Schizosaccharomyces pombe: one gene and its partner. The protein of the gene in region 2 interacts with the protein of the main gene of each other region in a pairwise test. Each region holds a gene or a part of one and is shown on either strand. Other genes may lie near its edges. The genes, in order: bud6 and SPOM_SPBC16E9.15.

Region 1 (7,072 bases), on a different chromosome or scaffold from region 2:
TTTCCTTAGTACAGCAGTTCAGTCGTACTCGATCGCTGCATTGTTGCAACTTACAGGCACTGTGACACTCAAAGGTGCCTTTTTCGTGGGTCTTTATGTATTTGGTGCATCTGGATTGCCCGACGTAGTCGACTATATGTTCACAGAAAGCAGAGGTACCCCTTACATCCTTGTCAAAACTATATCTTCTCTAGTGAAATCAGTAGGCTTAAGTGTTGCCTTGATCGGTTACGGCGTACGTCGTATTTAAGATTCCGATGGTTCAATATCTGATTTTTAAAACGACAAGTTAATCAAATTTTCTTTAATATCTAAGATTTCTTTTCTGTGTTTATCTCATATTTGGTTAGACTGTAAGTGAAAATAGTATCCCAATAGTGGTATTGGACAACATCGAAGCTTCCTTTGCTTGTTATAACTGTACATATTAAGGTATGTTGTAACTCTATTCAGCAAATCCTTGATTCACAAGATTTGCATCAGTCCTAGTGTAATACAGGGTAATTTCTCTCGTAACAATTAAAGTTAAAAAAAGTAAAAAAAAAATACACAAACTGGCATACAATCATTGCCAAATCGAATAAAACTTATGCACATTAAGTTAGGCTTGTCTCTTCAACATCTTCGGCATCTTCGTAAGCGTCATAGTCATCAGTGGATATCGTATCGTGTCTTACATGATGAGTCACTTTACTCATCTGTACATTGTTATCGTACTTAAGATCAGTATTCTCAAACACTGTATCACTAGAACTTTCGACTCTGTTATCGGAGTATTTAGAAGGGGTTTGTTCATCATCTGTTTCATGAGCTGTACTACGGACGATCGGCGTCTCATATATATTAAAATCAGGTTGCTTCAATGGCTTTGGAGTTGCCAATGGACTGCGTTCTAACATAAAATTCTCTGTATCCACCTGTGAACCGTAGTCTATTTCTGCAACAGTTGCTTTAGCAGAATTATCAGGCACAACATGTTCGTCTAAAACAGTGTCACTCGATTCCTCAATGAAACTACCTCCATTTTTTCCATTGCGTTTCGATGACACAAAGTCATCCCATAGAATTTTACGTACTTTTTCATCTTGAATTGTTCGAATTCGATCAGCCTCTTCCGCTCCTCCGATCTTATTCAACTTTTCGTTCTCAACAAAAGTTTTAACTTCTTTTGAAAATTCATCTACTCGTTGCAACAGTCGTTTTTTCTGCAACAGTTCACTACGCTCAATAGCCTGTAGTCGTGCTTCACTGTCGGGTTTTAGATTTAGTACTTCTAGCTGAATTTGATCACGATAACCTTTAATCTCAGACTCAGTGGCAGTTTTCAAAGTTAAGGGTTTGCTTTTAATGGAGGACTTGGCTTGCAATTCAGCTATCGCGGAAACATTTGAAAGGACAGTGGATAATGCGGAAAGATCCCTCTTAAGATCTGATATAAGAACAGTATGACTATCCAGAAATTCTTGCTCTTGTACAATTGCATTTAACTCTCGTTCCCATTGCTTCTTCCAAATTGGAGTTACTTCCTCAAGAGATCTTTCAAGGGTTTGAATCCTTTTTTCCAAGTATGCGCTTTCCTCATTTAATTGAGATGTTTGATCTAAGCCTGGTCGTACTTTGCGCAACAGCACATCAGAACGCATAAGTTCAATCTGATCATTTACCTCATCAAACTTTTCAACTACGTTTTTAACTTCCCGTTCAATCCTGTCCTTGCTGCTTAAAACAAATCCTCTTCCAAATTGGAAATCCAGAGATCCCTTTTCATTAAACGCATTTATCTCTTTCTTAAAATCTTTTATCTTTAACGGAATCCTGGTGAAGAAAGCAGCCGAAATCTGTTTAAGAGAAGCCAATTCTAGTTGCATATTCTTAACTTGTTGGTAAAACTTGTGGTCGATACTATCAGGGACAGAAAAGTTATTTGCCAATTTTGAATGGTCTTCTGACGATTTGAGTGCAGCTGAGTCGTTGGTGTGATTAGTTGAAATATTTTGCTCAATAGCTTTCAAGCGCTCAAGAATTTCTGTAAAAGCAGAAGAAGGACTTTCATGAGTGGTAGTATTAACATGATCATCCAGAGTGTTTTGTGCAGATGAATGTTGAATAGCAGAGACCTCACCGGAATGGAAATCTTCCCTCTTCTTGTTAGCATCTTGCTCTTTAAACATAAAAGAAACTAGTGACTTGTATTTAAGGTCCGAGAGATCTTCTAACAGATAACTTATCTTAGTATCGGGGTCTTCAATATTTAGTTCATAAGAATCGCCACTAAATGAAATTTTATATACATTACTGAAAAGTTCGCCCAGCTCATTTGCGTTTGATAGAGGACTTTCAACCTTGACTTTTCGGGTCTGGTTATTGTAACGCAAAAAATAGTATTTTTCCGTATCTACCCCCAACGGTTTTGGGAGTGCCTTTTCAGTCTGAGAAACAACAGGAACCTTTTCCGGCTTTGAAATAGGAGTTTCACTTGGAGACCCTGAAACATTAGGTGGAGCAACGGTAGGTAAAGGAGAAATATTGGAAACAATCGTAGATACAGGAGCAGTAGAAAAAGCGGTAGATAGGTGGACGGCCTCGGGAACGATGGGAACATTAGTAGTAGGAGAAGTAGCAGATACAAGAGCCGAGGATGGCGGCTCCGTTATTTCAACAGGAGAGGCAGGTTTCTTAGGGTAGACATCAGATACAGTGATAGTAGATGAAGGGTCGTTAATTAATTTGGCAGATGCGCCTGTATTTGGAGTCGATTTATCTTCTGAATCCTCTTCAACCTGTGTCGAGTCATCGTTAGAGATTACATAGCCTTTTGTATCTTTCTCGCTCTTAAACTCATCTTCAGAACCAGACTCTTCGGATGAATATTCATATTTATGGAATTTATAAGATGGTTCATCTTGTTCAGCATTGTTTTGTTGTATAAGTCTTTCCAGCTCTTCTAAGGAATCGTTTTCAAAATTTGCTAAACCTCCTTTTGTATCTGAAGTGCTTATACTCGTACCAGATTCAATTTTTTCAGAACTAGATATCACCGGGGCTTCTTCCTTTCTTTCAGTTATTGATTCAATTGCAGTAACAGCAGGTTCTTTTTCTGCAATTTCATTTGAAGCTGCTTCAGGGACGCTACTGCTAGGTTGTATTTCCTGTTGAGTAGATGAAACTTGGGGTAATGAAAGTTTACCTTGTAAGCTTTCAATTTCAGAGGTATCTTCTGAGGATTCTGCTTTTTGAATTTGTCTTTCGAGGAGTTCCCTCTGACTTGTGGCATCCGTCTCAACCTCATCAGCGATATCTTCCAATTTTGGCGAAGCAGCATATTCTTCAGTTTCACGAATGGAATTCGGCGAATTCAACGTAGAACCATCATCTGCATTAAATTGTTTTTTGTTAACAGATAGTGTTGAAGAACGACCTCTGGGCAATAAAATCGGAGTACTAGATGGAAGGACTGTAGCAGATAATGGGCTATTAGGGGAAGAGATAGTCCTTGATCGTTGGGGAAGTGGCGGAGCGACTTCTCCGTCATTGATGGTTGAGCTACTTAATATTCTATGATCAGACACGCTTCTAGTTACATCAGTTGCACCCGGAAAAACATTACTTCGATTTGCTTGACTTATTCTTAAAGAGTTAGAACGAGAGTATACATCCTTTTGTACGAAAGAACTGGGGCTTTTTCGAAGAGAAGGGCTTTTTAAAGAAGTGGGTGTTCCAGGATCTAATGATTTAGTCAAAGAAGGTGTTCTAGTAAGTTTTGGTGAAAACTTTCTATCAAAACTTGTATTTATTGTAGGTCTTCTTGAAAGCTTATTTGAATCATGACTATCTTGTCTAACGATAGATGGCCTTTTAGATACTTTGGGAGACGGTGAGTCCATTATATTGTCTGGCTTTGAGGAATCACGAAGAAAGCCTCTGACAGATTCAACAGTGATATTCCTCAAATTCTGAGAAGATCCCTCATTGTTTTGCTGGTCTTTTACCATGTGTGACAGTCGTTTGCTAGCTCGGCGTTCGAGAGCATTTGTCTGCTTCAATGCATCAAAGGCTCCAGGAGCACTTAATGAGGCACTCGTAGTTTCTTCATATTGCTTTCTCGAATCAGGATTTCTAAATGATGATATGCTTCCTTGGGAAGAACCACGACTATTACGGCGATTAACATCGTTATCATTCGCTTCACGGGTCATTTGAGGCAAATTTGACCTAGATTGATTTAATCTGGATTTAACCAGAGATTGCTTATACTTCAAGCTTTGTAGGAGGTGCATAACCAGCTCCCTTACGTTAGGAAGATTGGTCTCCAAAGCATCAGAAGATGGTGTTTTTTCCAGTGTTTGCTCTAGGACTGATCTGAGTTCTAGCGGAAAATCATTTAAATCTGCAGTTTCAATACCAGCTTCATGAAAGGACTTGGTTGTCTGAAGGAATTCCCCTATTAGAGTAACATAAACGGATGAAACAGCACTATCATTAACTGTACCTTTGCTCCAGTTTGTTAAGCTTTCAAGAAGCTCCTTTGTTACAACTAAAAGCTTCATTATCGATGTCTCGATTGTACTAATTAAATGAGACGCTGCATCTCTTGACAAAGGGCTGTTGGACGCGCCATTAGGTACAGGCTTCCGATTTGAGTCGGAAGGGACTAATCTTCGAGAAAAATTTGCTCGAGATTCAGTCTTTTGTCTTTGCATTGAATGATTGGAAGAAAAACGTTCACGAGACATATTATCGCCGTTATTAAACATTGGTCCCAATAGATGAGTAAAGCAATGATCCTAATCGCAAAAAAAGGATTGAAAGTTCAACTTAAACTTAAAACAATAAACATAAGAGAAAACACAAAACCAATTAGGTTTGTTATATACAAAACATAAGAATATTGACTTATTAGACTCAGTTGCGTAGGTTAGTACTTCCACCGAGGGCGATCGAGGTACACTAGAAATGGACTACTTGATGAATGTGCTAAGGTACATAGTAAATTGAATTTGTGAGGATTGCTAAGTAATTTTATAATATATTTACACACCTGTTTATTGTATTTAACTAACCAAACCATATATTTGTACATAACGTTAATGACAAGAACAAAATGTGAATAAACAAAGAAAGAAGTAATATGAAATACCAAAGGTTAACTCCCAAAATATTGACTTTTTATTTCAAATTGACGCATACCTCCACTTAAAAAATCTGAACCAACTAAACGATGTCGAAAGGTATTTAATTACATAATATTACAAATTAAGGGTTTCGGAGTTTTCAAGGGTTACTTCTGAAGTAGTGGGTGCTTCAGAAGTAATGTTTGCGGTTTCTGTTTTGGTAGCTGAATCATTCTCAGAGTTCTTAGGAGCACGTCTCGTTTTTTTAGCTTTTACATGATCTGAAGGTAAATCGAAATTCCGTCTTAATTTCGTCCTTAATCCAGGCAAAGCGTAATTAACCTTTTTCCGTTCCCTTCGGCTCCTTCCATCAGGTTTTTCATTTGGCTCATTGACTACTGTACTTTCTTCAGAAGTTTCTTGAATCCGAGCTTTTCTTCGCCTTTTCACTTTTGTTTCTCTTCGCGACTGAGTTTTCGTCACACGATCGTTCTCATTAGGGGATTTCAAATTCGTTACAGATGACAGAAGTTCCAAATTATTATAGGAGCCCGTATCGTTGGTAGCAAAGGAGCTACGTGACGGCTCAATTTCGTAAGGTCGATCTTCAGCATTCAATATTCCTTGTAGCGATGGCGGACGTAACGGAGAATTATTGGGATGGGCTATTGAAAATCCATTTGAAGATGGAGGTTCACTTGACAGTCTCATGGGAGGATTTCGAAAAAGTGTTAAAATTTCCCGCTCTTCGTCGGTAAAAGATTTAGGATTCAGTCCAATTTTGTTAGAGTCATTCATTATTTCTACAGAAAATTTTTCGTTCCCATTAGTGACAGAAGAGTCTACTAACCCGTTTATTTCCCTTGGAGTGTCTGTACGAGGAGATTCAGCAACAGTCATATTTGACAGAGAAGTCGTCGTAACCTGAGGCCCAACATTCTCTTGTGAAGTTAATGAATTATGCGCAGTATCTTCAGGCGCAAACTTCAACGATATGGAGCTATTTAAATTAGGATCTGAAATATGATGCCCATTTCGGTTACTTTTATTTGAAGATTGCACAAGAAGGACAGCAGAATCCAAAGAGTTTGCGCGATTGGGGCGACTATCGGTCTCCGATACATAACCGGTAACATTGGTAGCTGCAGAAGCCAGATTAATTTGTTTATTTTGAATGTCAACGTCCCATTTCCGTTTAGTGGGTGTACTTTGTATTACTGTATCAGATTGTATTCTGCTATGAAAATGAGCTTCTTGTGAACCCTCATTTTCTTCTTGAGCAACTCCATTTGCATTATCTTCTTCGGTTCTTCTTTGTGCAGCTGCTTGATTATTAATTTTGTTGGATAATGATTTTGGACTAACGATTTCGTATTCATGATTTTTTTCCTGAGGAGCAGAATCGATAGATTTATTTTCAGAAGTAACCGCTTCAACTCTATCTTCATTATTATTATTTACAGGTTTCGAATTGGATAGATTGTAAGGATTTTCAAAATCAGCTGGGAGGGCTTTGCCGGATTTTAGCTGAGGTGCTGATTGCGTGTCGGAAAAAACATTAGCTTCTCTTTTTTTTTGTTCATTTATAGCAGTTTCTCCGTCATCAATTATATTTTCATCCTCTATTCCACTTAAATTTCGTAAGGAAACATCATGCTGAGCTTGCTCAATTATTTCTTCGGTATCTTTCACGACGGATTCCTTTCAGACGTTAGATAAACATATCTGAAAAACATAATACGATTCAACTTACCTCGTCAAGGTCTTCAGAATCCGTATCGACATCGTAAGCTAAGTTAGCCTCCACTGGTTTGAAGGTGTCTGTGTTCAATTAGCTAAAAACGATATGAATTCAAACACGTACCTTGTATTTCTTGCTGACAAAGACTTAATTTTGATAAAAAATTATCTGTTTCTTCATGAAATCGATTAAGTAATGCAGCTAACTTTGTTTTGTTTTC
Region 2 (3,671 bases):
AGGGTCATATATATGCTTACGTTTTTCTTTTTTTTTTTTACATATGAAAATACCTTCTATATACGCATTCTATTATTAGTTAGACTTGATCCTTTTAGTATGCAACGACCACACATGCCTTATTTATAATAATAAAATTATTCATTTCATATTAAAATCTTGAGTTTGTATTCTCCTTATAATTTGTAATAAGCGGTATAAATTAAAGGAAAGAATGAAAAAGGTGTTGGTAATTCTATAGTAAATATGGATGGCATTTATTAGATTATGAATCCAAACTGTTCGAGACAGCGAAAGTTCCGCAAAGGTGGATAATGTCATATGTTGATAAAATATGCATGCATTAAATGATAATAAAAATATAACGAGTGAGTTACAAACACGGTTGGTTGTAAGATAGGAAAAAACGATTAGGCTCTCTGGATATCTACTGATATTTCCCATTTGGGTTGAACACCAGCACCAAATATGCTTCCTACTGTTTTTTGTATAATCCTTATAATATCTTCACGAACTGCTGCCTGCTCTCGTTCACCTCCTGAAACGGTTAAGCCAATATTAGCAATACAAGTATTATAATGAGGTTGCCAAATGGCAGCATAATTAAGTTGGTCAATTCGTGTATCCTCTTTTATAAGGGAGACGCATTCAAAGACCTTTTCTTTATTAGAGTATGTCAACAAGAGCATTAAGGCAAGCGATTTGGCAATGGAGAACCCATTCACCAGGGCAGTAACAGCAATAGTTAAGGAAAGCAAATGGCTGAGAAATGAACCAACTTGATAACCAAGACTTAACAGCAACACGAGGATGAGTGAAGGTACTAATGTGAGTCCATGGAAAAAGCGAGAATTGAGTTCTCGTATGTGAGCACTAGGGTGATCCAACAATAATGCAAATCCCGATATTATAGCCGAAGCAAACAATGAAATGGTTAAATGAATGTGTACAGTCTCTTCTTCATGATCGCCAGCATGATGGAGATTACCCCAATCTTCTATAGCATGTTCGGCAGGCTCTTTTAGGAGGTTCATGCCGAGGAAGATTAAGAGGATTGAGAAGGAAAAATCAACAAGTAATTCCATTTGTTGCATTCCAAATGGGTAACGTAAACACGTGTGTCGCCAGACGAGGAACGAATCCAATGTTTCACGCCAAACGTTGATAATGATTAAAACACCTTCTACGATTAAAGAGCAAGATAAAGTGAGTAGGATAGTAGCATCCCCCGAGAGTAATACCCCTACGGCGACCAAAAAGAATAGGATTGAGCTTGTCAATTTTAGTTTTTGAGGAAAAGTAAGGATTGCGAATGTTTCTTTAAAAGTAGGAATGGGATAACTGGCAGGTATCTCTAACGGCTGTCGATTCTTGGGTGGTAAGAAATATTGATGCGAAAGCGAATGTTTGTGATGATGGCCTTTTCTGTGGGTAGGGCGAGTATCCACGCTTAACAAGTTGGGATTATTCGCACTCGGTTTTGGTAACTGATCACTAATAGTTACAGAGACATTATTATTTATAGGGTTTTGAATCTGAATAGCAGTCGGGATGTTATGATTTTGAGTCATTTTTCATTCATTTAGATATACTTTCAACAATTCTATAATGGCTTTTTTAAAAACTCACTCACCCATGCGTTTGGTGGAGTGGATGGGTAAGACCAGTTGGTACTAGGCCCAAATTGCAACAGTCTAAGATAAAGATATTGACTGTATCAGTAAATGATTATAAAAAGCCATAGTGTTGTACCATCTTTGAGACATCTACTTTTTAGTGACTAGGAATAAAAAACGCTTAGTAGAAAACGGTTAAAGATGAACAAACTTACCTTTCAGAGCCATCGTGGAACGCCATATATATAGGGTTCAAACATGCGGCTCAAAGTCATCCATACAAGGATATTATGAGTAATTTTTTTAATTCGTTTAATTAAAAATAAAATCATCATTAAGTTATAAAAAAAAGGCCACTCCAAGGGCCTGAATTCTCCTTCTACGACTTTTCCACATGTACTCGATAAGACAATAAATACACTTGGTAAAATAATAAAAATAATTATGTGTAGGTAAATAACATTACGCAGAGGTTCCTAGCTGAGTTCCATCAACTATTTTACCTACTTCTTCCATTTCTCTTCCAAATACCAACTATTGTATTCACAAGTGAGTTCTTATTACCTGAAGGAAGCATCTATACATATTAAAAAAAAGGTTTTCGGTTACAATGTCTGCGTCTGTTAGAGGGAATTCTAAAAATCCTCAATCCACATCTGCGATCACGACTTTGGTGCGTTTAAGATTAGTCTTTCTTTTTTTTTAATGATCTAACCTTGTTTACTTTTAGACTGATAAGTTATTGGAGGATATTGTAAGAAGAAGAATTGTGCTTAGTTAATCATTCTAACAGATTTTTATAGTCTGGCGACTTTGAGACCCTACAAAAGCAATTCTCTGAGAAATGTACGATTCTCTAATTTATAATGAAAGATTTTGCTTTACTAATCATAACTTTTTATGTTAACAGTGGAAACGATGTCAACTCGTTTAGATCAACTTGAAGAATCCATGCGTGAGGCCATGAACAAAAAGTCTTCTGTCTCACCGGTCACATCGACCGAGTGAACAAGATTCACCGCATAAGATTTTCAAAGCTTTCTATTTGAAGTGAGCATACAGCTTGTTTGACGTGGTGGATTGGGGATTGTGCTAGATTTGCTCTATTTTATTAAGAATAACCTCTGTTTGTCTTGCTCTGTCTATTTATTTTCAATTGTATTTCTAAGTCTCGATTGTTTGTCTTTTTCAATTGTTTACATGTTCGTACGAGAAAATTCAAATCATTTATTTTTTGTACATTTATTTTTACCTGTTAGTTCTATTGTACATTTTATATTGTTTCTTGTTTTGATTATCTAGCAAGGCCAAAGCAAGCATATACAACCCACCACAGACAATCAAACTACTTAAAACTAAAGCTACATTACATTTTCTATATCCATCGCATTCAATTTCTTTACTCGTATAAACAAAGAATCTCATTAATAAATTACGAACAATTCGCAGTACTTTCCATCATAAAGAACCAACCTTTAAAGGATGACAACTTTCCCCTCAAAAAGTTGTCGTCCCTTTTTTTCAAATAAGAACCATACAATAAAAACCTTTTTTCATAACGGATTCACGAGATAATGAAGGTTACGTCCAAAAATTTTGATATTGCAAGTATTCCCTTTACTTGTTGGACATACCCAAGGCATGACGAACATTGTTCATCAAGCCATGACCGCTGCTGGTGCTGCTTCTACGTTCCTTGCGGGAACTTTTGCTTTCAGATTTGCCCAAACCGGTGGTACCCTTGTCGCTATCCGAAGAAGCAGAAGAAACATCATCACGTACAGCAGTAGATTTGGCAGCCTTGGGCTTTTTAGTGGTAGTAGTAGCAGCAGCATTTGTGGAAGCTGAAGTAGGCAAGGTGCTGGGAGTAGATTCAACAGCCTTTGTCGTACTAGGAGTTTTAGTGGCACCGCCAACATAAGCAGGAGTGGTGGCAGAGCGGGCTGCTTTGCTTGAAACAGTCTCAGTGGTGGCAGGATAGTGATAGGCGGCGGACTTGCTCTTAGTACTAACATCAGTAGGTTCATTAGTGGTAACGGCGTGTGGATGAACGGG

The links.
Region 1: the proteins of SPOM_SPBC16E9.15 (region 2) and bud6 interact in a two-hybrid assay, tested with the Schizosaccharomyces pombe proteins (one large-scale study listed by BioGRID).

The regions. Positions count from the first base shown.
Region 1 is NC_003424.3:3,714,488-3,721,559, reverse strand, and holds bud6 (actin-interacting protein 3), read right to left. Parts: upstream 4,918-7,072; 5' UTR 4,755-4,917; coding exon 597-4,754; downstream 1-596. Other genes in the region: SPOM_SPAC15E1.02C (uncharacterized protein), read left to right, coding at 1-250; shugoshin Sgo2, read right to left, coding at 5,247-6,812, 6,865-6,932, 6,976-7,072.
Region 2 is NC_003423.3:1,944,752-1,948,422, forward strand, and holds SPOM_SPBC16E9.15 (uncharacterized protein), read left to right. Parts: upstream 1-2,141; 5' UTR 2,142-2,226; coding exon 2,227-2,289; intron 2,290-2,346; coding exon 2,347-2,370; intron 2,371-2,419; coding exon 2,420-2,462; intron 2,463-2,526; coding exon 2,527-2,624; 3' UTR 2,625-3,087; downstream 3,088-3,671. Other genes in the region: Golgi zinc importer, CDF family, Zrg17, read right to left, coding at 411-1,571.